Stegostoma tigrinum: one gene and its partners. The protein of the gene in region 1 purifies or fractionates together with the protein of each later gene. This does not show direct contact. Links are inferred from orthologs where the notes say so. Each region holds a gene or a part of one and is shown in the gene's direction. Other genes may lie near its edges. The genes, in order: smarca4a, ss18, creb1b and ddx5.

Region 1 (7,126 bases):
ATGACCCTTCTTGCTCCGTCTCCCCCATTGACCCCCCCGCTCCGTCTCCCCCAATGACCTCACCCCGCTCCGTCTCCACCAATGACACCCCTCCGCCCCCAATGACCCACCTCCTCCGTCTCCCCCAATGACCACCGTCTCCGCCGATGACCCCCCCGCTCCGTCTCCCCAATGACCCCCGTCGCCCCCGATGACCCCCGGCTCCGTCTCCCCCAATGACCCCCGTCTCCCCCAATGACCCCCACGCTCCGTCTCCTAAAATGACCCACCCTGCTCCGTCTCTTAAAATGACCCTCGTCTCCCCCATGAGCCCCCTGCTCACTGTCTCCCAATGACCCCCCCTCCGTCTCCCCCAATGACCCCCCCGCTCCGTCTCCCCCAATGACCCCCCCGTCTCCCCCAATGACCCCCCCGTCTCCCCCACTGACCGCCCCCCTCCTCCGTCTCCCCCACTGACCCCACGTCTCCTCCAATGACCGCCCCCCTCCTCCGTCTCCCCCAATGACCCCCGTCTCCCCCAATGACCCCGTCTCCCCCAATGACCCCCCCGCCCCGTCTCCCCCAATGACCCCCCCGCCCCGTCTCCCCCAATGACCCACGTCTCCCCCAATGACCCCCCCGCTCCGTCTCCCCCAATGACCCACGTCTCCCCCGATGACCCCCCCGCTCCGTCTCCCCCGATGACCCCCCCGCTCCGTCTCCCCCGATGACCCCCCCCGCTCCGTCTCCCCCGATGACCCCCCCCGGCTCCGTCTCCCCCAATGACCCCCGTCTCCCCCAATGACCCCCTTCTCCCCCAATGACCCCCTTCTCCCCCAATGACCCCCTTCTCCCCCAATGACACCCCCACCTCCGTCTCCCCCAATGACCCCCACGCTCCGTCTCCTAAAATGACCCACCCTGCTCCGTCTCTTAAAATGACCCTCGTCTCCCCCAATGAGCCCCCTGCTCACTGTCCCCCAATGACCCCCCCCTCCGTCTCCCCCAATGACCCCCCGTCTCCCCCAATGACCCCCCCGCTCCGTCTCCCCCAATGACCCCCCCGTCTCCCCCAATGACCCCCCCGTCTCCCCCAATGACCGCCCCCCTCCTCCCCCAATGACCGCCCCCCTCCTCCGTCTCCCCCACTGACCCCACGTCTCCTCCAATGACCGCCCCCCTCCTCCGTCTCCCCCAATGACCCCCGTCTCCCCCAATGACCCCCCCGCCCCGTCTCCCCCAATGACCCCCCCCGATCCGTCTCCCCCGATGACCCCCCCGCTCCGTCTCCCCCAATGACCCCCGTCTCCCCCGATGACCCCCGCTCTGTCTCCCCCGATGAGCCCCCCGCTCCGTCTCCCCCATGTCCCCCGTCTCCCCCGATGACCCCCCCGCTCCGTCTCCCCCGATGACCCCCCCGCTCCGTCTCCCCCATGACCCCCGTCTCCCCCAATGACCCCCCCACTCCGTCTCCCCCATGACCCCCGTCTCCCCCAATGACCCCCCCCACTCCGTCTCCCCCATGACCCCCGTCTCCCCCAATGACCCCCCCACTCCGTCTCCCCCATGACCCCCGTCTCCCCCAATGACCACCCCCACTCCGTCTCCCCCATGACCCCCGTCTCCCCCAATGACCCCCCCCCACTCCGTCTCCCCCATGACCCCCGTCTCCCCCAATGACCCCCCCCACTCCGTCTCCCCCATGACCCCCGTCTCCCCCAATGACCCCCCCCACTCCGTCTCCCCCATGACCCCCGTCTCCCCCATGACCCCCGTCTCCCCCAATGACCACCCCCACTCCGTCTCCCCCATGACCCCCGTCTCCCCCAATGACCCCCCCCACTCCGTCTCCCCCATGACCCCCGTCTCCCCCGATGACCCCCCCCGCTCCGTCTCCCCCGATGACCCCCCCCGCTCCGTCTCCCCCATGACCCCCGTCTCCCCCGATGACCCCCCCGCTCCGTCTCCCCCATGACCCCCGTCTCCCCCAATGACCCCCCCCGCTCCGTCTCCCCCGATGACCCCCCCCGCTCCGTCTCCCCCATGACCCCCGTCTCCCCCGATGACCCCCCCACTCCGTCTCCCCCATGACCCCCGTCTCCCCCGATGACCCCCCCCACTCCGTCTCCCCCGATGACCCCCCCCGCTCCGTCTCCCCCATGACCCCCGTCTCCCCCGATGACCCCCACCCCACTCCGTCTCCCCCGATGACCCCCCCCACTCCGTCTCCCCCGATGACCCCCCTCCTCCGTCTCCCCCACTGACCCCCCCCGTCTCCCCGATGACCGCCCCCCTCCTCCGTCTCCCCCGATGACCGCCCCCCTCCTCCATCTCCCCCACTGACCCCCCCGTCTCCCCCGATGACCGCCCCCCTCCTCCGTCTCCCCCGATGACCGCCCCCCTCCTCCGTCTCCCCCATGACCCCCGTCTCCCCCAATGACCCCCCCCGCTCCGTCTCCCCCGATGACCCCCCCGCTCCGTCTCCCCCATGACCCCCGTCTCCCCCGATGACCCCCCCCGCTCCGTCTCCCCCGATGACCCCCCCGCTCCGTCTCCCCCGATGACCCCCCCCGATGACCCCCCCCGCGACCCCCGTCTCCCCCGATGACCCCCCCCGCTCCGTCTCCCCCATGACCCCCGTCTCCCCCGATGACCCCCCCCCGCTCCGTCTCCCCCATGACCCCCGTCTCCCCCGATGACCCCCCCCCGCTCCGTCTCCCCCATGACCCCCGTCTCCCCCGATGACCCCCCCGCTCCGTCTCCCCCATGACCCCCGTCTCCCCCGATGACCCCCCCCACTCCGTCTCCCCCGATGAACCCCCCCACTCCGTCTCCCCCGATGACCCCCCCCGCTCCGTCTCCCCCGATGACCCCCGTCTCCCCCGATGACCCCCACCCCACTCCGTCTCCCCCGATGACCCCCCCCCACTCCGTCTCCCCCGATGACCCCCGTCTCCCCCGATGACCCCCCTCCTCCGTCTCCCCCACTGACCCCCCCCGTCTCCCCGATGACCGCCCCCCTCCTCCGTCTCCCCCGATGACCGCCCCCCTCCTCCGTCTCCCCCACTGACCCCCCCGTCTCCCCCGATGACCGCCCCCCTCCTCCGTCTCCCCCGATGACCGCCCCCCTCCTCCGTCTCCCCCGATGACCCCCCCGTCTCCTCCGATGACCCCCCCTCCTCCTCCGTCTCCCCCGGTGACCCCTAGTCTCCCACAGTGACCCCCCTTCTCCGTCTCCCCGGGTGACTCCCAGTGACCCCCCCTCCGTCTCCGTCTCCGTCTCCCCCGGTGACCCCCCAGTCTCTCCCAGTGCCCCCTCCTCCGTCTCCCTCAATGACCCCTGTCTCTCCCAGTGCCCCCTCCTCCGTCTCCCTCAATGACCCCTGTCTCTCCCAGTGCCCCCTCCTCCGTCTCCCTCAATGACCCCTGTCTCTCTCAGTGCCCCCTCCTCCGTCTCCCTCAATGACCCCTGTCTCTCTCAGTGCCCCCTCCTCCGTCTCCCTCAATGACCCCTGTCTCTCTCAGTGCCCCCTCCTCCGTCTCCCTCAATGACCCCTGTCTCTCTCAGTGCCCCCTCCTCCGTCTCCCTCAATGACCCCTGTCTCTCTCAGTGCCCCCTCCTCCGTCTCCCTCAATGACCCCTGTCTCTCCCAGTGACCCCCCCTCCGTCTCCGTCTCCCCCGGTGACCCCCCAGTCTCTCCCAGTGCCCCCTCCTCCGTCTCCCTCAATGACCCCTGTCTCTCCCAGTGCCCCCTCCTCCGTCTCCCTCAATGACCCCTGTCTCTCCCAGTGCCCCCTCCTCCGTCTCCCTCAATGACCCCTGTCTCTCCCAGTGCCCCCTCCTCCGTCTCCCTCAATGACCCCTGTCTCTCTCAGTGCCCCCTCCTCCGTCTCCCTCAATGACCCCTGTCTCTCCCAGTGCCCCCTCCTCCGTCTCCCTCAATGACCCCTGTCTCTCCCAGTGCCCCCTCCTCCGTCTCCCTCAATGACCCCTGTCTCTCCCAGTGCCCCCTCCTCCGTCTCCCTCAATGACCCCTGTCTCTCTCAGTGCCCCCTCCTCCGTCTCCCTCAATGACCCCTGTCTCTCTATCTCCTTTCTCCCCCCATCCCCCAAACCCGCAGTCGAGACTCTGCGCATGCTCGCTGGCTGCCAGCCCCGCTCGCGGTCTTACCGGCCGTTTCTCTTTGTTCCATTAAACAGCGCGAGCGGCGCCTCCAGTCCAGGTAAAAGCCTCTCGGCTTCTCATCTCTCCAGGACCGGGGGCTTGTGGGCGGGTAACCGGGGCTGGGCAGCGGGGAGGGACCGGCGGATGAACAAGGTCCGCTACCGGTTTGCTGTTGAATGAGGGGCGGCGCGGCTCGGTTGCCCCGGCGCCGCTTTTATTGTTTAAAAGACGAGATTGAGCTGCAGGCCCCGCCGCTCGAGATGGTGGCGCATTCGGACTAAAATTAATTAGTTTATATTGCGATTAATTCAAAATATATTGTTTAGCCAGATCTGAACAGCGGAGGGAACTGCCTGGCTTTATTGCACTGTTCGATCAGCTGTATTATTCTGTACATGTGTGTGTTTCTCACGTTAGCGCTTTCTGCGTGGGTAGCTGCTGAAGGAACAAAGCATCAATCTCTGTTTCTGCAAAGACATGTTATTTGTTAGTTCAAAAGAAAACTTTATATTTGCTGCATAGGCGATACTTTTAAATATCTCTTGTAGTGTGTTAGGAAACATCCATGGTATGTTTTAAGTTGCAATAATGCCGTATGAATATGACCCCGTTTGAATGTTTTCCCTTCCCCTTTTGTTATCTCAATAAATCGAAAAATATAGTCGTTTACAAGTTTTTGTTATGATTGTAGAGCTATCTGTTGTGAATTGATGCTGTACCCTGTTGAATATTGTTGTTTATAGATTTTCCATTTCTTTTAAGTATTTTGCATATGTGAGCCTGGAAATCGGGATGTGTTGTTTATGATGTGGTTTCAGTGATGACCTAGTTTATTATTTAAAATGCAATGTGGATGTTCATAACTAATTTCAAAGACTAGAGTTGCTGTATAGTCAGTTTCTGTTTTTTTTTATTTCTTATTTTTCCCTGACCCTGATAGCGTGAACCCAGCTAAGTAGACAAGTGTTTGAAGTTCTTAAAGACGAAAGTACAATGCTTTGAACAATGCAGTGTTGCCTCCTGCCTGGAAAGTTCTGCTCCAGACTAAGCCCTCTTCCCACATACTTCTATTAACCAACTATGGTTCACAGAAAGGGAGAATTAAAAGCAGCTCTGTTATAAGCTAACTTTGCTTCCTGTTGGGTGCAAAGGATGACATTGACAGATGCAGCCGTTCACGGTTCAGCTCATACAGCTTTCCTGTGGAGGCTATGAAAAACTTGAGTTTATTTTTATTTAAAATTTCATTTTCCTCTCAAAGATTTTGTGGGGTTCAAGAAACTGCAGACATCTCTTTCCCTGGCAAGATGGACAAACTATTTGATTGTAATAGGCTTTGCAACAGAGCCAATCTGTTCTCTTCACAAGCTAAGAATGAATAAATGGAAAGACTGGGCAATTCAGCATGTCAGGCAGATGTTTCATCAATTAACATAACAAGAATTTGGAAATTTATATAGTTTCTAAAAGTTGGTGAATGAGGACAGAGCAGTGATAGGGGTTGAACAAAGTGCAAAGTGATAGTGATTATGAGTTGGAATGGTGACCATCTATCTACCTGTTGATCTCACATGGAAGTAATGATCTTTCTCTTTCTCATCTTACACATGTGGAAGATTTATCTACAATTGAATCCCTCCAGATACAGATTTTCAAAAATGTGGTGAACTTTACATAGGAAGGACAGCCCCTGCAGCGATACAGTGTCCTTGGGTTGCTATCCTGTTGAGCTGGTAAGAGGCATAAGCTTAAATCACGAAAGCAGCATTTTTAAAAAGCACTGCTAGCTGACCTCAGCCAGTCAGTTGTTCTGACAGAAAAGTGTAGGTTGTGTTTCAAAACATGATCAATTCTGCATAAAATAAATGAAAGATGGAAGTATATCATTCTTTGAGCAGAAGGCTGAGTTAGGGCAGCTCTTCTGTGTGGTAGAGTAAGCACTTGCTTCAAAGTGGAGAGGTCATACAGGGCAAGCTTCAGAGCCACTTGACATTCAGATCTGCCAACTTCATTTGGTCTGAACTTTTATCTTGTCAATTGGACTGTTTAATTGGAGGGATGACTCAATGAGAGATGGGAGAAAACACTTTGTTTTGTTCTAATTTGTTTGTAAGAGTACATTGTAGATATATTTTCTCCTTAAGATTGTTATTACTCTTTTCCAACTCACCAAGTTCCTTTGTAGAACTAGCTACAGTATTTCCTTCAGCAGGAATTGCCAGTCTGAGCTCAGATGCAACTTGGTCTGACGCTCCCTGCTTGTGACTGTGTAAAGATGCACTGAGTATTTCTCAGCCATCCCTAAGCAATGGTAGCTCTTGGGATTGGCAGCTGTGTGGACTGTAATTCAAGCCTGCATTGTGCATTCGCATTCTTATTGACTAGTGTCATCAAGGCACTAATATTTTGATGGATTGCTGGGAAGTTCATTGAAGTCGCTACTTCCTAAATGGCTTTGCCCCTCTAGCCCATAAGATGAAATTTGTGATGTGCCCAGTAGGACAAAGAGTGAGCTGTGGAGAAAACTCTGTTAGAGCACAGTACAAAAACAGAAATTGCTGGAGAAACTCAGTAGGTCTGGCACCATCTGTGGAGAGAAGGTGGAGTTAACGTTTCAAGTCCCTCAGACAGCATCTTCCAAATTAGAAGGAGAAGGACAGCATCTTAAAGTTCCCTCCGAGCCACTCACCATCAACGTTCCTTCACTGTCACTGGGTCAAAATCTTGGAATTCCTTATGCATTGTAGATTAACCCACAGCAGGTGGACTGCAGCGGTTCAAGAAGGCAGCTCACTACCAGCTTCTCAAAGGCAACAAGGGATGGGCAAGAAATGCTGGGCCAGTAATGCCCACATCCCAAAAATGAATAAAAAAAAGTCCAGTGACCCTCCCTCAGAAACAATCCGTGATTTCATTCCAAATGTTCAGCCAGCAACAGGCATTTGTATCAAATCTTAAACTTCCAAGGCGTCAGACAACA
Region 2 (7,375 bases), on another chromosome or scaffold:
TACTGAGTTGGACGATCAGCAATGATCGTGAAGAATAGTGGAGCAGGCTCGAAGGGCTGAATGGCCTCCTCCTGCTCCTGTCTTCTCTGTTTCTATCAGACTTAATTCCAGATTTTGTTTGTGAAATAAAATTCAAATTCCACCATCTGCCATGCGGGATTATCTGGGTTTTTGGATTAATAACCTTGCACTACACTGTTACCTCCCCAAGGGACCAGCACTTATCCCCGTGGAACGCCAGTGGACACCGACCTCCAATCGCACAACCAGCCTTCCAGCACCACCTTCTATCTCCTACCATTAACCCAATTTTGGGTCCAACCTGCCAAGCCTACATGCTTCTACGTTCATCAGTGTCCCCTGTGGCACCTTGTCAAAGGCTTTGCTGTCCTGCAGTCAGCATTGGTCCCCTGTTCTAACTGAATAAGAGCTGAACTTGTTGACCCTTCTCAACACAACCCACTTCCACATACCTGTCTACAGCCATAAACATCATCAACACTGACTGAAATGCAAGTTATTTCTTTGGGGAAAAGATGATATGAGACACTGACAGAAACTTAGGAACAGGAGTAGACCATTCAGCCCCTTCAACCCATTTCACTGTTCAATGTGCTCACAGCTGGTCTGTGGCTTAACTTCAAATACATGCCTTTAGCCTAGGTCCCTTAACACCTTTGCTTCACAAAAAATTATTTCAAATTAAAAATTAACAACTGATCTAACATACCAGCCATTTGTGGAAGAGAGTTCCAAACATCTATCACCTTTCTGTATAGGAGTGCTTCCTAACATCTCTTCTGGATAGCCTGGCCCTAATTCTCAGACTCTTCCGAGTTCTAGAATTGCCAATCAGTAGAAATAGTTCATTGTTATTAACTCTGACCTTTCCTGTCAATATCTTAAAGGAGTCCCAATAACTTTCCAAATTCTGGAGAACACATAAACAGTGACAGTTATTAGAGCCTGAGGCGTTCAAACAGTCACATCCAAAAACAATTTCAATGATGGATGTTTCCTCAACCTTGTTGATATTTTTTCAGCCATTTTTTAGAAAACAAATAATAAAATAAAACAAATATAATTAAGTTGCATTAAAAAGCCCCAGAAGGAAATCCCAAAGTATACCTGCAAATGCCATGCAGACATGGTCATCAAGTGCACAGATTTTTCTCACTGTTCTCTCCTCCTGAAGTTTTGCAACAGACTTTTTCTCCACACCAAGAACAACTATATCTTTACCTCGAATCCCAACCTTCAAAACGGGAAGAGTAAGCACAGTGAGTGAGTAACCGAAAGGAAAAAAAACTTACAGGACTGCATGACACTGCAGACATGGTTTGCTTAGGGGATACTTGTCTTCATTAGCCAAAGCATTGAAGACGAGCAAGGAAGTTATGTCGGAACTGTATACAAGATTAGTTGGGCCACTGCTGGAGTACTGAGAGAAGATCTGGGCAGGACATTATAGGAAGGATGTGATTGCCCGAGACAGGGTGCAGAGGAGATTCACCAGGATGTTGCCTGGACTGGAACAATTAACCTACAAAGAGATACAAGATAAGGTGAAGTTGGTTTCCATACAGCAGAGAAAGCCGAGGGCAGGATTTGAGTGAAGTCTCCCAAGTTTGAGGAGCATAGACAGCATAGCTCGGAATAGACATTTTCTCTTGGTAGAGGGATTAATAACCAGAAGGCACATTTTTCAGCTCAAGCGCAGGACCTTCAGAGAGGATTTGAGAAAAAAAATTCAGAGGGTTGTGGGTGTTTGGAACTCTCTCTCTGAAAAGGGTAGAGGCAGGAACAGTTGAGACATTTAGGTAATACCAAGATGAAAACTTGAAATGCCACAGCAAACAAGGCCATAGAAATGGAATGAGAAGAGATGGAGGTTTAACAACTAGCATAAATGCAATAGGTGAAGGCCCTCTTTCCAAGATGTAAAAACTCTTGACTCTGTTCAAGTAAATATCTTGCTAGGTTACTTCAGAGAGAACTTTGGCATTTGTTCATAAATTAATAGAATATAAAAGTAGATAAGTATTACTGCAACTAGACAAGGCATTATAAGATTACATCTGGGATACTATGTAAAATGTTGGTCACTTAATTGAGGAAGAAGGTAGTTGTCTCAGACACAGATCAAAGGAGATTTACTCAAAAACAGAAATTGCCAGGGAAAGTCTAGCACCAGTGAAGAGTTTAAAAAAAAGAGAGTTGACGTTTTGAGTCCAGTGACACTCCTTCAGGGCCCTTCTGAAGGTTCACTGGATCTGAAACATTGATCATTTGTTTCTCTCTGCACGGTTGCTGCCAGACCTCCTGAATTTCACCAGAGATGAAGGGCTTGTCTTATGAAGAGAGATCAAGCAGTTTACATATAGATAGAACATTTACATAGAACATTACAGCACAGTACAGGCCCTTCGGCCCTCGATGTTGTGCCAACCTGTCATACCGATCTCAAGTTCATCTAACCTACACTATTCCATGTACGTCCATATGCTTATCCAATGACGCCTTAAATGTACGTAAATTTGGCGAATCTACTACCGTTGCAGGCAAAGCGTTCCATTCCCTTACTACTCTGAATAAAGAAACTACCTCTGACATCTGTCCTATATCTTTCACCCCTCAATTTAAAGCTGTGCCCCCTCGTGCTCGCCTACACCCTGGAATGTTGGGCACGGTCCCTTGGCATAGGGCAGCAGCAAAGTGGGCACTGTGCTGGGGCAGGGGAGGAGGAAGCATGTGGGGGGTGCCACTGTCCCTGGGAGGGGGGGGGGAGCGATGTGTGGAGAGATGTGGGGGATCACTGTCCCTAATTGGGGGTGGAGGGGGCAAAGAAGGAATATGGGTGATCACCATCCCGTGTGGGGGGGGGGGTCACTGTTTCAGGGGTGGTCACTGTCCCTTGGGGAGGGGGGGGGCGTGTGGGGGTCACTGTCCCTTGGGGGGGGCGCGTGGGGGTCACTGTCCCTTGGGGGGGGGCGCGTGGGGGTCACTGTCCCTTGGGGGGGGGCGCGTGGGGGGTCACTGTCCCGGGGAAGGGGGCGTGTGGGGCGTCACTGTCCGGGGGGGCAGGGGGTCACTCTCCCTGGAGGGAGGGGTCGTGTGGGGGGGTCACTGTCCTTGGACGGAGGGGGCGTGTGGGGGTCACTGTCCCGGGGGGGGCCGTGTGGGGGTCACTGTCCTTGGAGAGAGTGGGGGGGGGGCAGGGGGGTCACTGTCCTTGGAGGGAGGGGGCGTGTGGGGGTCACTGTCCTTGGAGAGAGTGGGGGGGGGGCAGGGGGGTCACTGTCCTTGGAGGGAGGGGGCGTGTGGGGGTCACTGTCCCGGGGGGGGGGGCAGGGGGGGTCACTGTCCCGGGGGGGGAGGGGGGTCACTGTCCTTGGAGGGAGGGGGCGTGTGGGGGTCACTGTCCCGGGGGGGGGAGTGGGAGGGGGGGGCGCGCGGGGTCACCGTCCCTGGGGGCTGTCACTGTTCCCGGAGTGGGGCGGTTCTACTACAGACTCACCGCTGTCGAGCCTTTCTTCACGGCCTCTTGCGCGTATTCCACTTGAAAGAGATGTCCGTCTGGAGAGAACACAGTGATGGCTCGGTCATAGCGAGCCGCCATAGCCGCGGTCAACTAATCCACCCCCCCTCCCCGCCCAAGACCGGCCGTAACGCACGCGCACAAACGGACGGTAGGCGCAACGCACGCGCACGAGCCGGCCGCCGGCACAGCGCACGCGCGCGCTCGAACCAGCCGCCAAACTAAAGGACTCCACTGCGCACGCCCTCATGGAAGGGGCGGAGCTGTGGCCAATGGACTTCACCAATTAAACAGCTTCTCCGGAGGGGCGGTAATATCATTTCGTTCCATTATATTATTAACGCGCAGCATCAGTAACGAAAATCCCATTTTTGAAAGGAAGTTATTAATTATTCTTCAATTTTCTTTTGTTCGTTGCGTATATTTGGTGGGACAGTGTGTGTATTCTACACATTGGTATTCCTCACCCCCTCTCCCGACTACTGGGTATAGTTTGATATGGCCTCAGGCCGGAAGAAACCACAAAGAGGAGGGGGAGGATTGGACGAAATCCAGCTACATAACATCAGGGCGATCTGACAGAAAAAACATCTATGGACTGCAAACATTATGCATCTTGAAATTAATTGACCCCCTTTACTGATTGAACATGTTGAAAAACATCTATTTTCGTTGCAACTTTGGTTGCATCACTGCCAAAAAAAAGTCGCTTCCCTGTTCCAGATTCTGGTCTTGAAACCAGAAGGAATGCACCATTTGTCTCCAGAGGGGAGGGTGGGTACTGAGGACAACTGTAGAGGCCTGGGAATGTCTGGCTTTATTGATTAGTAAAGTACACGGTAGTTATATTCGTGGGAAGCATTTCATGTCCTACTCTGGCCCAATTCGGATTTGTTGCTTTACTCTGTGTAGGAATTGCTTGCTGTTGAATCCACAAAATCCCCAGTGGTTGCAGTGTAACTGGCAGGAGTTTATCCGGAATTCTTCATTCATTAATGGGGGAGATCCTCAGCTGACTGATTCATTAGAAATTGCACCCAAAATACTGCACTGTCTCCCCAGTCACTGAAAATGCACTGGATCAGAATAATGCAGGCACTTGCAGCCCTCTTTGTCTCCTTGCACAGCTGCTGACAACTTCTTGCTGCAGCCCTGGTGTGCATTTTCTACCTTACGCCTTTTAGTGTTGGGGCTGGAGGAGGGGTGTAAACTCTGCCGTTTCCCCTTCCTCCCACAGCTACGAGAGATTTTTTTTAAAAAATATAGTAGAATCTCTTTGAAGAGGGAAGAAAAAGAGCGCTGCCTGTTTCCAAGGAGGAGGAGTTGCTACCATGTCTGCTGCATTCTGTATGCTGTGTGGGTGAAGAGAGGGGAGGGAGTGAAGGGGGGGGGAGAATAGAAATAAGAGAGGAGTGGAAGGGTGAGAAATAGACTCAACTCCATACACAGAGCAGAGCACGATGTCGGTTGCTTTTGCTACTCCCCGGCAACGCGGGAAAGGTGAAATTACACCTGCCGCCATTCAGAAGGTAATGTAGCGAGTTTTGGAACGTTGCGACAATGTATCCGCTCAGATTGTTACACTGGAGGGTTACATTGTAGCAGGCGTGCAACAATGTAACCTATACATACACACCGGGGGGGAGGGGGCATCAGATCATGAAGCCTTTGTATTCGTAGAGTCCCGTTAAGCTTCAACGGGGAACAAAAACCATTTTCTTCTTCCCTGTGTATTTTGTTTTAAAAATAAGATTCCGTGGGGAGAGGGGGTTCCTATACACTCACCCAGATACGAAAAAAATGCTTGACAGAGAGGGGGAATTTTGCTCTCGCGGCCATGATGAAGGTCTTCAACTGTTTTTGGGAGAACATTTTTTTTCTCTTTGTCTTCCCCCCCCCCTCCCCCAGAGCTTCTTGAAGCTTTTACAGCCTCATTCCTAAGTCCAACCTCGCTCAGCGAAATTCACAAGCGCCAGGAAATGATCATTTTCTCATAAGTACAATTGGGTTGGCAGTTAACTTTTAATCCGTCTCCAGTAATTTTTTTTTCTCTCTCCGAGGTTATTTTTTTCTTGCAATGTCTGGTTGGATTTGAAATGTTCCCCTTTTCTCCACCCCTTAAGAATACTTCAGATCTGCTGATGGATTTGATTTCACGTTTTTTTTTCTATTCATTTCAACCAACTTTAATTGTTCGAGTTGATGTGTGAGCTTGAGCGAGTAACACGTTCTGGGGGAATTTCTGTTACATCAATTTTACGACAAGGTCACTGCTTTTTTTTCGTTTGTTCTGAGCTGAGATGTTTACTTGTACTCCTGCGTTTTTGTTTATTGTGCTGGAAATAGCAGTTTTTGCACAGTTGAGGTTTGACTCCTGTCCTGTTTCGCGTTCCTCCCTTGGCATTTCCCCTCTGGGTTGTCTCTTCGCAGCCGAGCTATTTTGCCAAGTCACGGGCTACGTTTTGGGTCATGTTGCTGGGGCAGGTTTAAACCCAGAAGCCTAGCCGTTTCAGCTGGAGACTTGAGTTCAAATCCTAGCTTGGCAATTCCAAGTCTGGGAAGCTCGGTTACACTCGGTCTGGCCAACGGCGCAATTTTTAAAAATTGTCCAGATGAAACGAAATATTGTGGACGCGAGGAGGGTAGTCATGGACTTGGAGAGGACACGACTGGAAGGGGCAGCTGAAATTTAACACAGAAGTAGAAATTGCTGGAAAAACCCGGCAGGTCTGGCAGCATCTATGGAGAGAAATCAGTTGACCTTTTGGGTCCAGTGACTATCTCCACCCTTCCGAACTTTCGGATTTACAGCCTCCTCAGTTCGACCTGTTTTAATGCAGATGAAATGTGATGTGGAGAAGTCTGAGGAAAGCAAAGGGACACGATAAAACAAGAACACAATTTTGCTGAAGAAGGGGTGTGATAACACGGTGTGGAGCTGGATGAACGTAGCTGGCCAAGCAGCATCAGAGGAGCAAGAAAGCTGACGTTTCGAGCAAGGGTCCCGACGCGAACCGTTAACTTTCCTGCACCTCTGCTGTCTAGCCTGTTGTGTTCATCCAGCTCCACACTGTATTGTCTCTGCGATGAAATGAAAGCCCTTATTCTCCAAGGGGCTGCGCAGGATTTGGGGATTGGTGAGTGCACCATTTCTGCAAGGCAAGGAGGGAAAGTGGTTGGAAAGGCACAAAGGATCCCTCCTTTTTAAAATAAGCTTAAACAGTACAACTCATTCAGCCAGTAACTCACTGTTCCAGCCTCACCTGAAATCTAGTGCTGAATTCTGGGCTACACACTTCAGGAAGGATATGCAGGTCTTGGAGGGAGTACAATGTAGGTTTACCAGAATGAAACCTGGACTTCAGGCATTAAGTTATGAGGAGAGATTATACAAACTGTTTTCTCTAGAATTTAGAAGGTTGAGGGTGATCTGATCGAAGCCTTTAAGATGTTAACAGGAAAACATAAACAAATTACTTAACAAAAATGTACCTAAATTATTAATGACTGTGGGTCAAAGACAAGTACATGGAGTTAAGTCACAGATCAGTCATGATTTCATTGATTGGCAGAACAGGCTTGCAGGGCTGAATGGCCTACACCTATTCCTCCTTGTCAACATGTTAGATGCAGATTTTCAGAGGCAAATGGTTCATAGTTAGGGTGTAACTATAATCCAGAGGACCAGGCTATGGGGTTGCAAGTTCAAATCCCATCACAGCAGCTGGTAGACTTTAGATTCAATAAATAAAAATCTAGAATCTAAAGCTATACTCCAGACCACAGCAAAGTAGTTGACTCTTAACTGCATATTTGTCACTTTCAGAAGTTCCTATT
Region 3 (7,043 bases), on another chromosome or scaffold:
GGTGTTGTTCCCATGTATCTGCTGTCCACGTCCTTTAGATGGCAATACTTGTGCATTTATAAGTGCCCAGTGAGGAGCCTTGGTAAGTTTCTGTGATACAAAGAGTCATACAGCATGGAAACAAACCCCTTGGTCCAACCAGTCCATGCCGAAATTAATCCCAAACTAGTCCCACCTGTCTACTCCTAGCCCATATCCCTCCAAACCTTTCCTATTCACGTACTTAACCAAATGGTTTTAAAATGTTGTAATTGTACCCACATCCACCGCTTCGCCAGGAAGTTCATTCCACACACAAACTGCTGTTGAGTGTCAGTGGTGGAGTGGATATTTCAGTATGTGATGGCAATCAAGCGGGCTGCTTTGTCCTGTATAGTGTCAAGCTTCTTGACTGTTGTTGGAACCACACTCATCCAGGTAAGTGGGGAGTAGTTCATCACACTCCTGACTTGCGTCTTGTGGATCATGGATAGGTTTTGCGGAATCAGATGGTGAGTAACTCACTACAGTATTCCGAACCATAGACCTACTCTGGTAGGCAAGGTATTTACATAGCTAGACCAGTTCAGTTTTTGTTTAAATGGTAACTCAATGATGGTAATGCCTTTGAATGTCAAGGAATAACAGTTAGATTCTTTGATGTTGAATATAGTTAGTTCCGAGTATTTGTTTGGTGGAAATGTTTGTTGCCACTTGTCAGACAAATGTGAATACTGTCCATAAGACCATATGAAATGGGAGCAGAAATTAGGCCATTCGGCTCATCGAGTCTTTTCCACCATTCAATCAAGGCCGATAAGTTCCTCAACATGCTGTCCCTCCTTGATCCCCTTGATAATCAAGAACCTATCTATCTCAGTCTTAAATGTACTCAATGACCTGGCCTCCACAGCCTTTTGTGGCACTGAATTCCATAGATTCACCACTCTCTGGCTGCAGAAGTTTCTCCTTATCTCCATTCTAAAATGTCTTCCCTTTACTCTAAGGCTAAGCCCTTGGGTCCTAGTCTCTCCTACCAATGGAAGCATCTTCCAACATCCACTCTGTTCAGGCCATTCAGTATTCGGTAAGTTTTCATTAGATCCCCTCACCCTTCTAAACTCCAATGAATATAGTCTCAGAGTCCTCAAATGTCCCTCATATGTTAAGCTTTCCATTCCTGGGACCATTCTCATGAACCTCCTCTGAACCCGGTCCAGAGCCAGTACATCCTTCCTGAGATATGGGGCCCAAAACTGCACACAATACTCCAAAAATGGCCTGACCAGAGCTTATAAAACCTCAGTAGTACATCCCTGCTTTTATATTCAAGTCCTCTCAAAATAAATGCCAACATTGCACTTGCCTTCGTAACTACTGACTCAACCTGCAAGTGGACAGAATCCTGGGCTAGAACTCCCAAGTCTCCTTGCACTTCAGACTTCTGAATTTTCTCCCCATTCAGAAAATAGTCCATGCTTTTATTCTTCTTGCCAAACTGCATGACCTCACTTTCCCACGTTGTACCCCATCTGCCACTCCTTTGTCCACTCTCCTAACCTGTCCAAAGCCTACTGCAGCCTCCCCAGCTCCTCAATACTACATTCCCCTCCACCTATCTTTGTATCGTCTACAAACTTAGCCAGAATGCCCACAGTTCCTTCATCTAGATTATTAAGTATAAAGTGAAATGTTGTGGTCCCAACACTGACTCTTGTGGAACACCACTTGTCACTGGCTGCCATCCTGAGAAAAACCCTTTTATCCACGCTCTATGTTTTCTGCCAGACAGACAATCTTCTATCCATGCTAGCACCTTGCCTCTAAACCATGGACCCTTATCTTACTCAGCAGCCTCCTTCGCAGCACCTTGTCAAAGGCCTTCTTGAAGTCCAGGTAGATAATATCCATTGACTCACCTTGAACTACCCTGCTCGTTATTTCCTCTAAGAATTCTAGCAGATTTGTCAGCAATGTCCTCCCCTTGATGAAACCATGCTGACTTTGCCCTATTTTACCATACATTTCCAGATATTGAGAAATCTCATCCACTACAATAGACTCCAAATTCTTACCCACTAATTGGCCTGTAATTTTCTGTCTTTTGCCTCACTCTCTTTTTAAATATATCTTGCTGCAGTTGGACATGGATTATGTTAGTATCTGAGTAGTTGCGAATGGTGTTGAATATTGCACAGACATAAATGAATGACGGGAGGCCAATGATAATGCAACTGTAGATGGTTGAGCCCAGGACGCTGCCCTGAGGAACTCTGCAGAGATGTTCTGAATCTGAGATGACCAAACTCCAACAACTACAATCATCCTTCTTTGTGGACATATGACTGCAACCACCAGGTTTCCTTTTGATCGCCACTGACTCCAGTTTTGCTCAGGATCCTTTACATAACACTCACGTAAAATGCAGCCTTGATATTAAGAACAGTCACTATCACCTTATCTGTGGAATTCAGCTTTGTACATTTTGATCCAAGGCTGAAATGAGGTCAGCAGCTGAGTGGTCCTTGTGGAACCAAAACTGATCATCAGTAAGAGATAACAGTTTGGAGCTGGAGGAGCACAGCAGGCCAGGCAGCATCAGAGGGGCAGGAAAGTTGATGTTTCAGGTCGGTACCTTTCTTTTCTGAAGGGTCCTGAACCGAAGCTTCAACTTCCCTGCTCCACTGATGCTGCCACGCCTGCTGCGCTTCTCTACCTTCAGTGTTATCCCTAACTCCAGCACTAGCAGTTCTTACTATCTCTGATCATCAGTAAGCACATCTTGGTAAGTGCTGCTCAACAGCACTGTTGACAATACCTTCCATGACTTCACTAATGATTGGACAGTGGACTGAAGGGAAAGTAATTAGCTCGGTTAGAATTGTCTCGCTTACTACATACAGAACCTACCTTGGTAGTTTTCCACATTGTTGTCTAGATGCAGGTATCGGCTGCATGGGGAGGGTATTGCTAATCTTCATTTCTGAATCACTGCAATTGATGGGGGAAGACACATAACCAAAGCATTGTTAAGTGAGTTCCAGGATTTTAGCCCAGCCACACTTGCAGATCAGTGATATAGTTCTAAGTCAGGATGAGTGTATGGATTAGATGGAAACTTACAGGTGGTGCTATTCCTGTGCTTCTGCTGTCTTAGTCCTACTAGATACTACAGGTCACTTTTTGAGATGTTCTCCAAGGTGTCTTGGCAGAGTTGTTGCAGTGTCTCCATGGTACACATTGCTGCAACTGTGCATGCATAATGGAGATGCCAGTCAACTGGGCAGAAGGGAATATCACGAGGGGAGACAGCATCGGAGGGAGGAGCCATCAAGGAAATAGATAAAATCATGAGCAGCCCATTCAACACCTTGGAGCTTGCTTCACCATTCAATATAATCAGGACAAACCACTGAGTTCAATGCCCTAAACCCACCCTCTCCGCGTGTGCCACAAAAGCTCTATCTACTCTCTTCTTGAAAAACGCAACTTTGGTCCTCAACCATTTTCTGTGGTAGGGAATTCCACAGAATCACCCACTCTCTGCGTGAAGAAGCTTCTCCCTATCGCACACTGCAAGTTTTACCCCTTATTCTTGAGCTTTGACTCCTGATTCAGGACTCCGCCACCTTCAGGCATCTAATCTGTTCCATCATGTTAGAATTTCGCAAGTTTCTATCACGGAGGTGGAAGAAGGGAATATTTTGAAGGAGGAACAGCATGGCTGTAGTGGGAGGGGGCGGGGAAAGAACTCATGGTGTGCAAGAGAGTATGGCATGGGAAGAGGCGAGGTAAACTGCACTGCAAGAGAGTCGTGATTGAGACCGCGTGGGGCGGCTCTTCAATACTTAAGAGGAAGTAACATTGCAAATAAGGGTGCAGTTTTTAACCGCGATTATTATGCGGGTCTCTACTGGTCAGCAAATATCCAAACACCCCCAATAAAAACAAATTCAGGGCTGGGAAAGTTGCGCATGCGTACATATACCCCCGCCCGGCGTTGGATCCAAGCGAAGGGGGCCGCGGCGCGCACGCGTAGTAATCAAACGTTCCATTAAGGAACTATTTGCGCGTGCTCTCTTTCCTTTTCCGGAGTTCACGTTTGTTTGTTTTGTTTTTGTTCATCCTGAGTTACACACCCTGATCGTTCGGTGGGGGACAGAAAGCGTGTCTGATTTTTAAAACATAAACGAAACTGACAATAGGATGAGACGTTACATTCGGAACCGATTCAACAGTGCGTACCTGGCGCGACTCGGCTCAGCCCGGACTGGGAACGCGCTGGGGCGGTTGGAGTTTGAAATAGGGTCGGCGGCGGCCGCGCGCGGGTCTCTAGTTGTGCGCTTGCGCAGTTTGATGCAAAAGACGCCTGGCGGTAGCGGCGGGGATTCCCCACTGTCCACGGCGGGTGCGTGCACGCGCAGTTTCCGGAAGCTGGAGCGTGTTGTTGGGGGGAGATGGGGAGTTTAGCGACTGCGCACAAGTAGGTTGCTCCTTCCCTTTCACCCCCCCCCCCCCCCCCCGCTCCACCAGCACACATCCCTGCCGTTCCTCTGTCTGCGCCGGGAGCGTCTCAGTCAGAGAGAGAGAGAGGCTGACTGACTGTGTGAGTGAGTGACGCGGTGGAGGTGTAAGGGACTGACGCGGTGTTTACGTCTCGGTGTGAGTGTCCAGTGGCAGCAGAGAGAGCCGGGGACTTGAGGGAAATAAAACCGGTAAGCGAGATAAATCGAGAGAGAGATAGATGGGTTGGTGTGGGTGTGGAGGGGCGGTGTTGAGGAGGAGGAGGAGGTGGTGGTGTTGGTGAGTGAACAGCAGCTTGCATCTGAACAATGGCGGCTGACTTGTTAGTGAACAGGGCTCCTGGATTGGAAAGAAAGAGTGAGCGAGAAGGGTTTCTCACTCTTCCCCGTTTCTACTCCAGGAACACCCCCCAGCAATGTTTATATCGAAAAGAAAACACACCCCCCCCTTTCCCACAAACCAATCCTTCCCCCGCCCCCCACCCCTCGTTTTACAGAAAAGTCCCCGCCAAAAATCTTATGCATTAACATTTCTTAACCAACTACCACCACCACCCCCCCCCCAACAAACACCTCCCAGTTTTCGGTTTCTAAACACGTTTTAAGAAATGTAGCCACCAGGGAAACTGGCTTGTTCCTATTGCAACATCACTTTTTTTTTCTCTCTCTCAATTTGGTGTTTAAAATAAAATGGGCGTCGGACCGCTACTGTGAGCAAGAAGTGAGAAGATCACGGGTCGTTGTTTCCTGTGCCATGACTGTAATTTCTACACACGTTTGCTTTTAAATCGCCCCCCAAAAAATCGCGCAGTGCCCTGCCCGTGTTGGAATCTCGCTGTGCAAGAGCCCCATCTCCCCCGAATCCTGAGGTGCGGAAATGCATTTGAAACTCCACAAAACATGTTTCATAATATAAATTCTTTCAGCAGTACAGAAATCCACGCTTCTTGGATTAATAGTCTTCTAAAAAGTGAAAGAATGTAGTTCAACTACTGTTAGTGATCTCGTATATTTCCTACAACATATCCGCAAAATTGCTTGCGCCCATAATACATTTTCGCCATGATGAACGGTGCCACAAACAGCTATAGTTTTGTTTAAACAGTGAAACTGAAATAATGATGCAGATTAAAAGTTAACGAGTATGTTTCAACCCATGTGATCCTCCATGGATTTGTTCTACCAGTTCAGAATTAAAATGTTTAATGTAATAATTTGAAGGTAGTTGAAATATTTATTTTGTTTTATAGTAATCCTGTGTATCCATGTAGCATGAATTCTGAAACAATTAACCATGTGCAGGTATGCAAATCTTCTTTGCATATTTCCTGTGGGACCTTTGTTTTAAATGCTGCATTGGCCTAGTTTTCACTTTGCTGCTTAATTCAAGAATAAACAAAGGACTGAATTCACATAATATTGCTTCAGTTAGTTTTGCCATCAGGCCTTTTTGTTAAATGAAGCAATTGCTGTTCTCAAGACAGAATAGTCAGATTTTTTTTGGCTGAATTTTACATGATTTCTCTCCCTGAGGTCTTGACTTTATACAGCTAGGTGATGCTGTGTATTTTTGTTGGTTTGTAAATTTATATGGCCTACATATAGTAATGAATTAGAAACTTTACATTAATGTGGCCTTTTAAAAGGGACACATTTACTTGATTATCAGATCAAGACTTGATCATGGGAGTCATTTATCGAGGGTTTTAAAATACAAATAGGTTTCAAGTTAAAGTACAGTGTCTATTTTTCAGAATATTTTAATCCAGCAGTTATTTTATTGTAATGTATCAGATGGAGGTTTACATAAGATACTTTGTCTAGTTTGTAAACTGTAAATTGGAAATGCCAGAGGCAATGGTCAGTAAATTGGTGAGATTTCCAGAATTTGCTGCTTGGAGCCACAGAGTGGCTCGAACATGCGCTACACGTAGCATCACTACCCTGTTGCCAGATCTGCTCAGATCATAACCTTCATTGAGCCTCAATTTCTGCAAGAACTGCTTACCCATATCTGATTAGTCGGGATATTGGCCCCCCCCCCCATTCTTTACTCATCACATCCTTGGTCCTGGCCCTTCCACTCAAATGTCACTGTAGATGATTTTATAAATTGTTCTCTCTCCTCTCCCAGGAATTATCAACCTTCCCTGTTGAACAGAGAATCTAGTGTCATCTGTTTGCTAGCTTGATCCACTTTTGGATGAGTTTAAACTTCTTTGGTTCATCTAAAACTGTAACCTTCCCATCTCCTCCAATTGTTACATTTATCTGAACCAGACTGTTTCCAGTTTCTGCATTTTTGGGTCCAAAAGAAGGTCACCTACATAATCATTAAAAATGCCTGTCTCCGCCTCAGCCCATCGTTAGGTAAAATCTTCATATATGCTGTTGTCAATTCTGTATCCCATTCTCCACCATACTTAACTTGCGTTCATCCAAAAACTAGAGCTATTATTCCTGTCCCCGATATCTCCTTTGTTTCACTGGCCCTTTGATATTTCTTACTCCCTTGAAGACCCTTAGTAATTTTCTCAGTTC
Region 4 (7,880 bases), on another chromosome or scaffold:
CTGGGCCTCCTGCATTGCCACAATGACACCACCCGAAAGATGCAGGAGCAGCATCTCATTTCAGGAACCCTGCAGCCCAGGGGTATCAATGAGGACTTCACAAGCTTCAAGATCTCCCCTCCCCCGACCGCATTCCAAAACCAGCCCAGCTAGTCCCTGTCTCCCTAACCGTTCCTCCCAACTCAAGCCCCAGCCCCGTCTCCTACCCACTAACCTCATCCTGCCTCCTTGACCTGTCTGCTCGCTGGACTGACCTATCCACCCCTAACTCCCCACCTACATTCACCTTCACTGGTTCTAACCCCGCCTCTTTGACCTGTGTGTCTCCTCTCACACTATCATCTCCTTTATCCATTTTCTATCCGCCTCCCCATCTCCCTATTTATTTCAGAATCCCCTTCCCCTCCCCCATTTCTGAAGAAGGGTCTCGACCTGAAACGTCAGACTTTCCTGCTCGGCCTGCTGTGTTCATCCAGCTTCACACCGTGCTATCTCAAGTAGAGGCAGCAAGGTTCCCAAAGGAATCAAAATCAAAGACCGCTTGGGTCTCGTGTGTACACTCTCAAATATTACTTGAGAAAAAAAAAATTGACATTTTTGGATTAAGTAAAGGTAAAATAAAAGAATATGATCAGATAGAAAATTGTAGAATAGCAGTGCACAAGCTTTTCAAATGTTGGCACTGAGCAACAGTTCAATCTCGATCCTCCTCAGGGTCAGCAAAATTCAGAAACACAAGGAGTACCACAATATAAAATTAAGCTTCAAAAAATTCAAAGGCAATAAGTTGATAATTTAGTTAATAAAAAAATCACCATTAAAAATACAAAATGACAAAACTCATTAATAAAGCCAAATTTTGCCAAACAATAAGATGTAGAGGTCCGGAGAGGAGAGAACGAGAGAGAGAGAAAAAAATCAGCCCCAATTCTTGATCACTGGGGTGGTGGTGCTGGCTGGGACCAAGCACTGGGTGAGGCACACACTGAGCAGACCTAGGTAGAACTGACAAGAAAATGGAAGTTGAAAGGTGACTTTCAGCATTAGATTTGCTCTTCTCGTCCTGCTTTCCCTCCATCTTTTCCTTCTCCTGTACTCACCCCTTTTCCCCCTTTCTCTCATCCCTTCCCCATCCTCCATACATCCTCTCTTTGTCATTCGTTGCACACATTTACTTCAAAAAAAATCCATGGGAGTTTGTAATTCAAAAATTTCCGTAATCGTTATCCTATTAAACATTTTACACTGAAATAGAAAGTGTGCAATTTGTTTTTCATTCCTCTCCACTGCAACAGCCTCTCCCCCAGGATACTTTGATATAATCTGATAAAACAGATTTCTGAGTAAGGATTCCTATTCTTCTATCATGTGCGTACAAGCACAGGGTTCAAACTAATTAGAGCATCAATTGGAATCTCAGTATCTTGACCGAACAGGCGAAAAAAAAGGATGCAGTAATACAAATCAGGAGAGCAAAAAGCTAAATCAATGTGCAATATTTTTGGGAAAAGACAAATTAATAGGAATGACACAGCAACCTAACTATCAATCCTATTAAACCCTCCTGCCATCACAACCTGACATTGTTCCTCTACACAATCAAACTCCCACTGCCTTCTCCCTGTGTTGCGGCACATGCCCTTCAAGCCAAAATCTCCTTGAAAGCCTTATATTCCCCAACATGGCCTGTGAAACCACTAGCACAGCTTCCATGCCTGAGGCTGTTTGCAGCTGCCAGTAAAGCAAATGTCAGGCCACATGAAATGCTTTGGCAGGTTGTGCACAGCACGCAGTGCAAAGAAGTGTACCTCCAATTAGAAGACACCAAAGATATGGTAGTGTTTTGGTCCATGGATGCAGGTACTTTATAGAAATTCTAGTGACAAGGCATAAAACTGGGTAATAATGCTGGATTATACTTTGTAAGCTAGTGATATATTACTACGCCTCATGTCTCACGTATTGAAAAGTGTATGACTGCCATGAAACATTGGCTACATAAAAATAAATACATCAAAATGAAGACCTAACTAAATTATGCTGTAGGATGCCAGCTGTTTTTCAATTAACAAATAATTTTTCCACATGCAAGCATGCATTAAGCATTTATCCTGCCTAGCTGCTCAACACTGCAATTTCAAAAGAATCTATTTGTAAATCAAATTATTCTATCTCCTTGCACATCTAGATCTGACATAAAATTGAGCATCATCTACACTCTAGTACATAAATGGGTAAACATTAAAACTTAGTTAAAATCCCAGTGATCTTGGATTGCTAAATTTCCTCTAGTGCTTCAACTAGATTTGTGAGCACTGTTCCAAATGTAGATGCCCTTTGGTAGTCAGAAAGCAGCCTTTATTTGCAGTAACGATGAATTAATGAACTTTACTGTCTGCCTAAAATGGTTATGTAATTATACCTGCTTAAAGCTAAACAAAGCTTAAGAATCAAGTGACTTGTTTAATCTTTACATTTTGTAACATCCTGATGGGTATATTTAATACCAACTGGACACATCCACTTTAGAAGAGCTTATCAACTGGCTTCAAACGTATACACAATTTGACAACAGACTTGATGGTAAAAATCAGAGAGCATGTTTGCTGGTTAGTGTGACTTTTGCACTTATTCATGAGACGTGGGCATCACTTGTCAAGCCAGAATTAATGCCCATCCTTCGTTATCCTTTGAAGGTACTAGCCAGCTACCAAGCTGAACTGCTGCAATCTATTTGGTGTAGGTAGTCCTACAATGCTTTTCAGGAGCAAGTTTACACATTATTTTATTGGGGAAACCACATGCTCTGGCCTGACAACTGGTGTTTTCTTGTCCATCTGTTCTACATTAGAGTAATGGAAAAAAATTAGGGAGAATACACAGCCAACATGTTCCAATAATGACAAAAAGTGGGACCAACACATTCTATGAACCCTGGAGACCAAGGAATATATAGGATTGAATAAAAAAAAGCTTATGGTCTATCAGGAGGGCTCAAAATCCCACAAGAACAGTACAGAATGTGCAAGGGAAATTTTATCAGCCAGAGGGTGGTTAATGTGCAGAACTCATTGCTGCTGAAGACAGTGGAGGCCAAATCATTGAGTACATTTTAAGATCGAGGTAGATAGCCTCTTAATCAGTACAGTGAACAAGGATTACAGGGAGAAGGCAGGAGAATGGGGTTAAGAAACTTTTCAGCCATAATTGAATGGTGGAACAGACTCAATGGGCCAAGTGGTCGAATTTTTCTCCTATATCTTATAGAAGACATTACTAATGATTGGTCTTGAAGCAGATCCTAACCATCTACTCTACATTCATCCAACATTCCACTTAAAAATAATCATTGACTGTAGTGTTCTTGAATTTGCAATTACAAAAGCTAACACATATGAATTTACTGAGATAGCAAGAACTGCAGATGTTGGAGTCAAAGATAACAAAGTGTGGAGCTGGAACACAGCAGGCCAGGCTGCATCAGAGGAACAGGGCAGCTGACGTTTCGGGTAGAAATCTTCGCAAGGATGGAAGAGCAGTAATGGGAGCAATTGAAAGAACCCTGGGAAACAGAGCTTGGCTAGAATATGTTACGCCACAACCAAAACGGAAGGCGCAGTACCACACTCATCTGAGGCGAAGGCGAGAGGGAGTAAAACCAATCGATTCCTTTTAAAAGGCTACTACTAGCCTCAACTCCCTCTAAGTAAAAAGTTGTTTCGGACATTATACCAATTCGTCCAAGTGCATTAAATCTCGGGGGTTAGGGTGACTGGTTGGAAAGAGATATGAGGCGCTGCAAGAACTGGTATTAATAGGAAAGTATTGTATAAAGAATAACTGAACTGTAATTTAGTGTTGGACTGGCAATCGTATTAACAAATAGCATTAGGGTCACTGGACTCGAAATGTTAACTGGTTCCCTTTGCAGAGACGCTGCCAGACCGCTGTCTCTCCAGCATCTTTTGTTTTAATTAAAAACATGCTTGACGAGGACCTGCCCGATATTTACTTTAACCGATAACAGACGCCTCTAAACAAGCTTCTGGTTGCCTTGACACTGTTGGTTGGGTCAGGAAGCTCGAGTTCGATTTATAATGACCACCACACGCAAATATTTCATATTACAGTATATGAAACGAATGGTTTTCCTAGTGTAAAAGTAGACTATAACTAAATACATCGTTATATATGGGGAGGGGGAGCTAGAAATAAGATAATTTCTTGCTTGACATAACTCAAATCATTTCAGACAAAAAAAGTGACAGTTAAAAGACGTGGCAGTAGACTTGATTTTAAAAAAATCAAAACACTAAAACACTGGGAAAGTTTGTTGGGAAAGTTGTCAGCGCGGCTGCTGGCCTACAATTGAAGCCGATTCGACTGCGACCGACCTCTCTCGTCCTGCTCCTCCATCGCCAGCGGTACGGAATAGAAATTCTTTCTCCTTCGACTGGACGCACAACAAATATAAAGTAAGAAACACCAAATAGCTCAGTCGAGTCGGAGTTACAATTAATCAGTTTGTTGTCAGTCCACTGCCATAGCCCCGGACCCTTGTACATTTAAAACGTCTCCAGCCGCCCATTGGCTCTGGGCATGACGTCACCAACCGCCCACCCGCGGAAAATGTCATTACTCCAAGCGCCGCCCCTCGCCTTTTTATTATCACTTATAAAAAAACACAAATACACACTCCCCCCACCTGTCACCGGCAGCGTTCATGTGAATATTTTATTATTTAATCATCGTCCTTTTCGTTTGCTTCCTACCCTCAGTGTCGTTTCATTGACGTCACCCTGTCGCCATGGGGAAGAGAGAGCTCCCCTCCTCGCTCATTTGTAATCGTCAGCGAGGCAAAGTAGGCCCTGTCATTCGAAGATGGGCGATGAAGTTTCGTTTAAAGTCTTCCCTGCCGCCAGAAAGCTGGAACAGCTCGATTCTTGAACAGTGGGATAACGATATGAGGGTGTTGAAGTGACAAAGGGGTCCGGAAATATTTGGGTCAAGAAGTAGCTACGTAGATTTGAATTGCGGAGGGATATGCGGAATGAGTTCCGGGCTCCCCCTTGCCGGCTTTGACTAAAGGCGGACAAGGAACCGGCATTTTAGTTTCGGCTTTCAACCGGCTTCCTCCCTTTCCCACAGTCAGCTCCATATCGAGCGTCAAGTATCTCGTTTGCAGTCCTGTCCTCCACTTTTTCCGCGATGCCTGGTTACGATAGAGGTGATCGGAGTCGGGAGCGTGGCGGGTGAGTTTGTGATTTTTTTTTCCCCCTCTTTCGAAAAACGCACCTTCAGTTTTTTTTTAATCTTCAATTTTTTTTTGGAAAAGAAAAGCCGGTTCCGTTCTGGAGGATGAGAAGAAGCCACCGCCACGCGGTCCGCTTAGGCAAAATCCTGGCTGGTGTGCGGAGCGTGATTTGGCATTTTTTTTAAAAAAAAAGCAAATTCCTTAAGGAACTTCAATTTTTTGGGAGGGGGTTCTAACCAATTAAACATTCTTCCGCTTTGCCATTTTTATTTTGGTCTTGCCGTAGTCTGTTTTTGTTTATTTGTATATTTCGATGCTCTGTTTGACCTCGTGTTACAGGTTTCTTCCTTGTATTGTAGCTAAAATGGCCGGGAGATGCTGTTTTTCGGGGGTGGGTAAAGCTGATCGTGGATGTTGGAGCTACCTTACGGTCTTGCGTCGATAGCCTGTTTTTTTTTCAGATACACGTCTGCTATCGTCTGTCTTTCTCTCTTTTGTTTGAAAAGCGTAATTTTTTTTCCTGTAAAAATATTACATTCCAGGTTCGGTTCGGGTGGACCTCGCTTCGGTGGTAGCAGGAACGCGCCTCCGCCCGGCAGGAAATTCGGGCAGCCGGGGGAGAAGCTGAGGAAAAGAAAATGGGACCTGGACGAGCTGCCCAAATTCGAGAAGAACTTCTACGTCGAGCACGTAGATGTGATGAACCGACCTGTGGTAGGACTGGCTGGCTTTTTTTTTCCTCCCCTCTACCCCTAAACCTTTATTATAATTCCATGTAGTCGTGAGATATACTCGTAAAACTAAATACTGTTAGTGCCGGACAAAATGGTAATCCTTTCATTTAAGGGAGACTCTAAAGGGAAACAATGTGCTTTGACTTGGCAAAGGTGGTGGAGGATGTTGGGCTGACGTTTGTAGCTGATGGGGTTATTCTTGAGTGAGCCGGTGATTCATTCCTATTAGTCACTAAAGGGCGATCTCTGCCCGCCCACTGAAATATACATAACTGCTGAACAGATAACAGTAAATTTTTAGTGTATTTTCAGCTAATGTTTGGTATCCCCCTGGTGGACATCTTCTAACAGACAAGGGAAAATTACAGACGTATACCTTTTTTAGCCTTTTCAATGAGGAAGTATTAATCAGTGGTTCTTGTACTTGTTTCAATCAGTTGAACTTGGGCTGATTAGTACATCTGAGCTTTTGTGTCTATGGAGGTTTTTAAAGCTTTCAGTTTTCCTATTTTTGGATACATATTCACCAGTTATGTATCTTAAACTGTAAATTGATTACTGTGGGATCTCTACTGTGAAGGATGACACTGGAAACAAAAGCAGAAATTACCTGAAATTCTGTAGGTCTGGCAACACCAATGGAGAGAAATAAGAGGTGATGTATTGGGTCTGGTGACCCTCCTTCAGACTGAAGGAAGCTTTTTCTGCAATCTCTGCTTTTGTTTCTGACTTTTTTAGGTTTTATTTTATGGTTGGAACACTCCCTAATTGACTAGGGTTGGGGCTAGATTTATGGATTGCACTTTTTTACACAAATGTTAAATTGGATTTGATGCTGTTGTTGATTGCAGCAAGAAATTGAACAATATAGAAGAAGCAAAGAAATCACAGTAAAAGGACTTGCATGCCCTAAACCAGTTTTCAACTTTGTCGAAGCAAGTTTTCCAAGTAAGTATGGAATACAAGTGCATTAGAACATCTTCTGTGACTATACAGTTTAAATTAGAGGCAAAGCTGTGCTTCTATTATAAGTCAGTTGTACAGCAGGGAAATGGACTATTTAGTCCACACTGACCGTGCTACCAAACTGAACTAGTCCACCTGCCTGATCTTTCCTAAACATGAACTCAGGAAGGATAGTTTTCTAACTTTTATGAACTCTTGCTCTCTAGTTTAATAATTATCCTTGCTTTGGCATGATGGTCAGAACTGTATACAGTACTCCAAAAGAGGCCTCAACATCCTGCACAATCTAAACATGATAGCCAACTCCTTTACTCGGAAGCCTGAGCAATGAAGGCAAACGTGCTAACTGACTTAACCAACCTGTCTACATCTAACAAAAACAGAACCTGCTGTAAAAGCTCAGCAGGTCTGGCAGCATCTGTGTAGTAAATATCAGTTAACATTTTGGGTCCAATGATCCTTCCTCAGAATGTGTGAACAATGTCTACATGTGATGTGAATTTCAAAGAATTAGGTACCTGAACCCCTACATCTGTTCTACAACACTACCCAGGGCCCTACTGTTAATTCTATATGTCCTGTCCTTGTATAAATGCAAAACCCCACATTTATCCAAATTAAACTGTTTGCCACTCATCAGCCCATTGATTCATTTGGTCAAGATCTTTGAAATCTTAGATAACTTTCTTTTCATTGGCTATTCTGCTACCAATTTTAGTGTCATTTACAACTTACTAGCCACGTTTGTGATACACTATTTTCTCTATGTAAAACCATCCCTAATCAATTCTGTGTCTCCAAATGCATGAAAATCCGACCTTTCAGAATCACCTCAACATACTTACCGCTGATGTTAGACTTGCAAGTCTATAGTTTCCTGCCATCTCCTTACAGCCTTTATTAAACAATGACACAACATTAGCCAC

The links.
Region 2: the proteins of smarca4a (region 1) and ss18 purify together in Homo sapiens (affinity purification with mass spectrometry; 8 studies listed by BioGRID and IntAct, counting the BioPlex papers as one, with this or other methods). This does not show direct contact. The link is inferred for Stegostoma tigrinum from reciprocal best matches to the Homo sapiens genes SMARCA4 and SS18.
Region 3: the proteins of smarca4a (region 1) and creb1b purify together in Homo sapiens (affinity purification with western blotting; 3 studies listed by BioGRID, with this or other methods). This does not show direct contact. The link is inferred for Stegostoma tigrinum from reciprocal best matches to the Homo sapiens genes SMARCA4 and CREB1.
Region 4: the proteins of smarca4a (region 1) and ddx5 purify together in Homo sapiens (affinity purification with western blotting; 3 studies listed by BioGRID and IntAct, with this or other methods). This does not show direct contact. The link is inferred for Stegostoma tigrinum from reciprocal best matches to the Homo sapiens genes SMARCA4 and DDX5.

What each region holds. Positions count from the first base shown.
Region 1 is NC_081388.1:12,628,574-12,635,699, forward strand, and holds the start of smarca4a (SWI/SNF related, matrix associated, actin dependent regulator of chromatin, subfamily a, member 4a), read left to right. Parts: upstream 1-4,114; 5' UTR 4,115-4,204; intron 4,205-5,762; exon of another isoform or gene 5,763-5,879; intron 5,880-7,126. UniProt on the Homo sapiens protein: ATPase involved in transcriptional activation and repression of select genes by chromatin remodeling (alteration of DNA-nucleosome topology).
Region 2 is NC_081358.1:125,259,771-125,267,145, forward strand, and holds the start of ss18 (protein SSXT), read left to right. Parts: upstream 1-4,371; 5' UTR 4,372-4,998; coding exon 4,999-5,067; intron 5,068-7,375. Other genes in the region: proteasome subunit alpha type-7, read right to left, coding at 1,129-1,255, 3,518-3,619. UniProt on the Homo sapiens protein: Appears to function synergistically with RBM14 as a transcriptional coactivator. Isoform 1 and isoform 2 function in nuclear receptor coactivation. Isoform 1 and isoform 2 function in general transcriptional coactivation.
Region 3 is NC_081360.1:14,409,377-14,416,419, forward strand, and holds the start of creb1b (cyclic AMP-responsive element-binding protein 1b), read left to right. Parts: upstream 1-4,037; 5' UTR 4,038-4,216; intron 4,217-4,224; exon of another isoform or gene 4,225-4,308; intron 4,309-4,390; exon of another isoform or gene 4,391-4,462; intron 4,463-4,496; exon of another isoform or gene 4,497-4,694; intron 4,695-5,221; 5' UTR 5,222-5,371; intron 5,372-7,043.
Region 4 is NC_081375.1:10,864,859-10,872,738, forward strand, and holds the start of ddx5 (probable ATP-dependent RNA helicase DDX5), read left to right. Parts: upstream 1-4,865; 5' UTR 4,866-5,208; coding exon 5,209-5,252; intron 5,253-5,796; coding exon 5,797-5,968; intron 5,969-6,839; coding exon 6,840-6,936; intron 6,937-7,880. Other genes in the region: trichohyalin-like, read right to left, coding at 4,367-4,565. UniProt on the Homo sapiens protein: Involved in the alternative regulation of pre-mRNA splicing; its RNA helicase activity is necessary for increasing tau exon 10 inclusion and occurs in a RBM4-dependent manner. Binds to the tau pre-mRNA in the stem-loop region downstream of exon 10.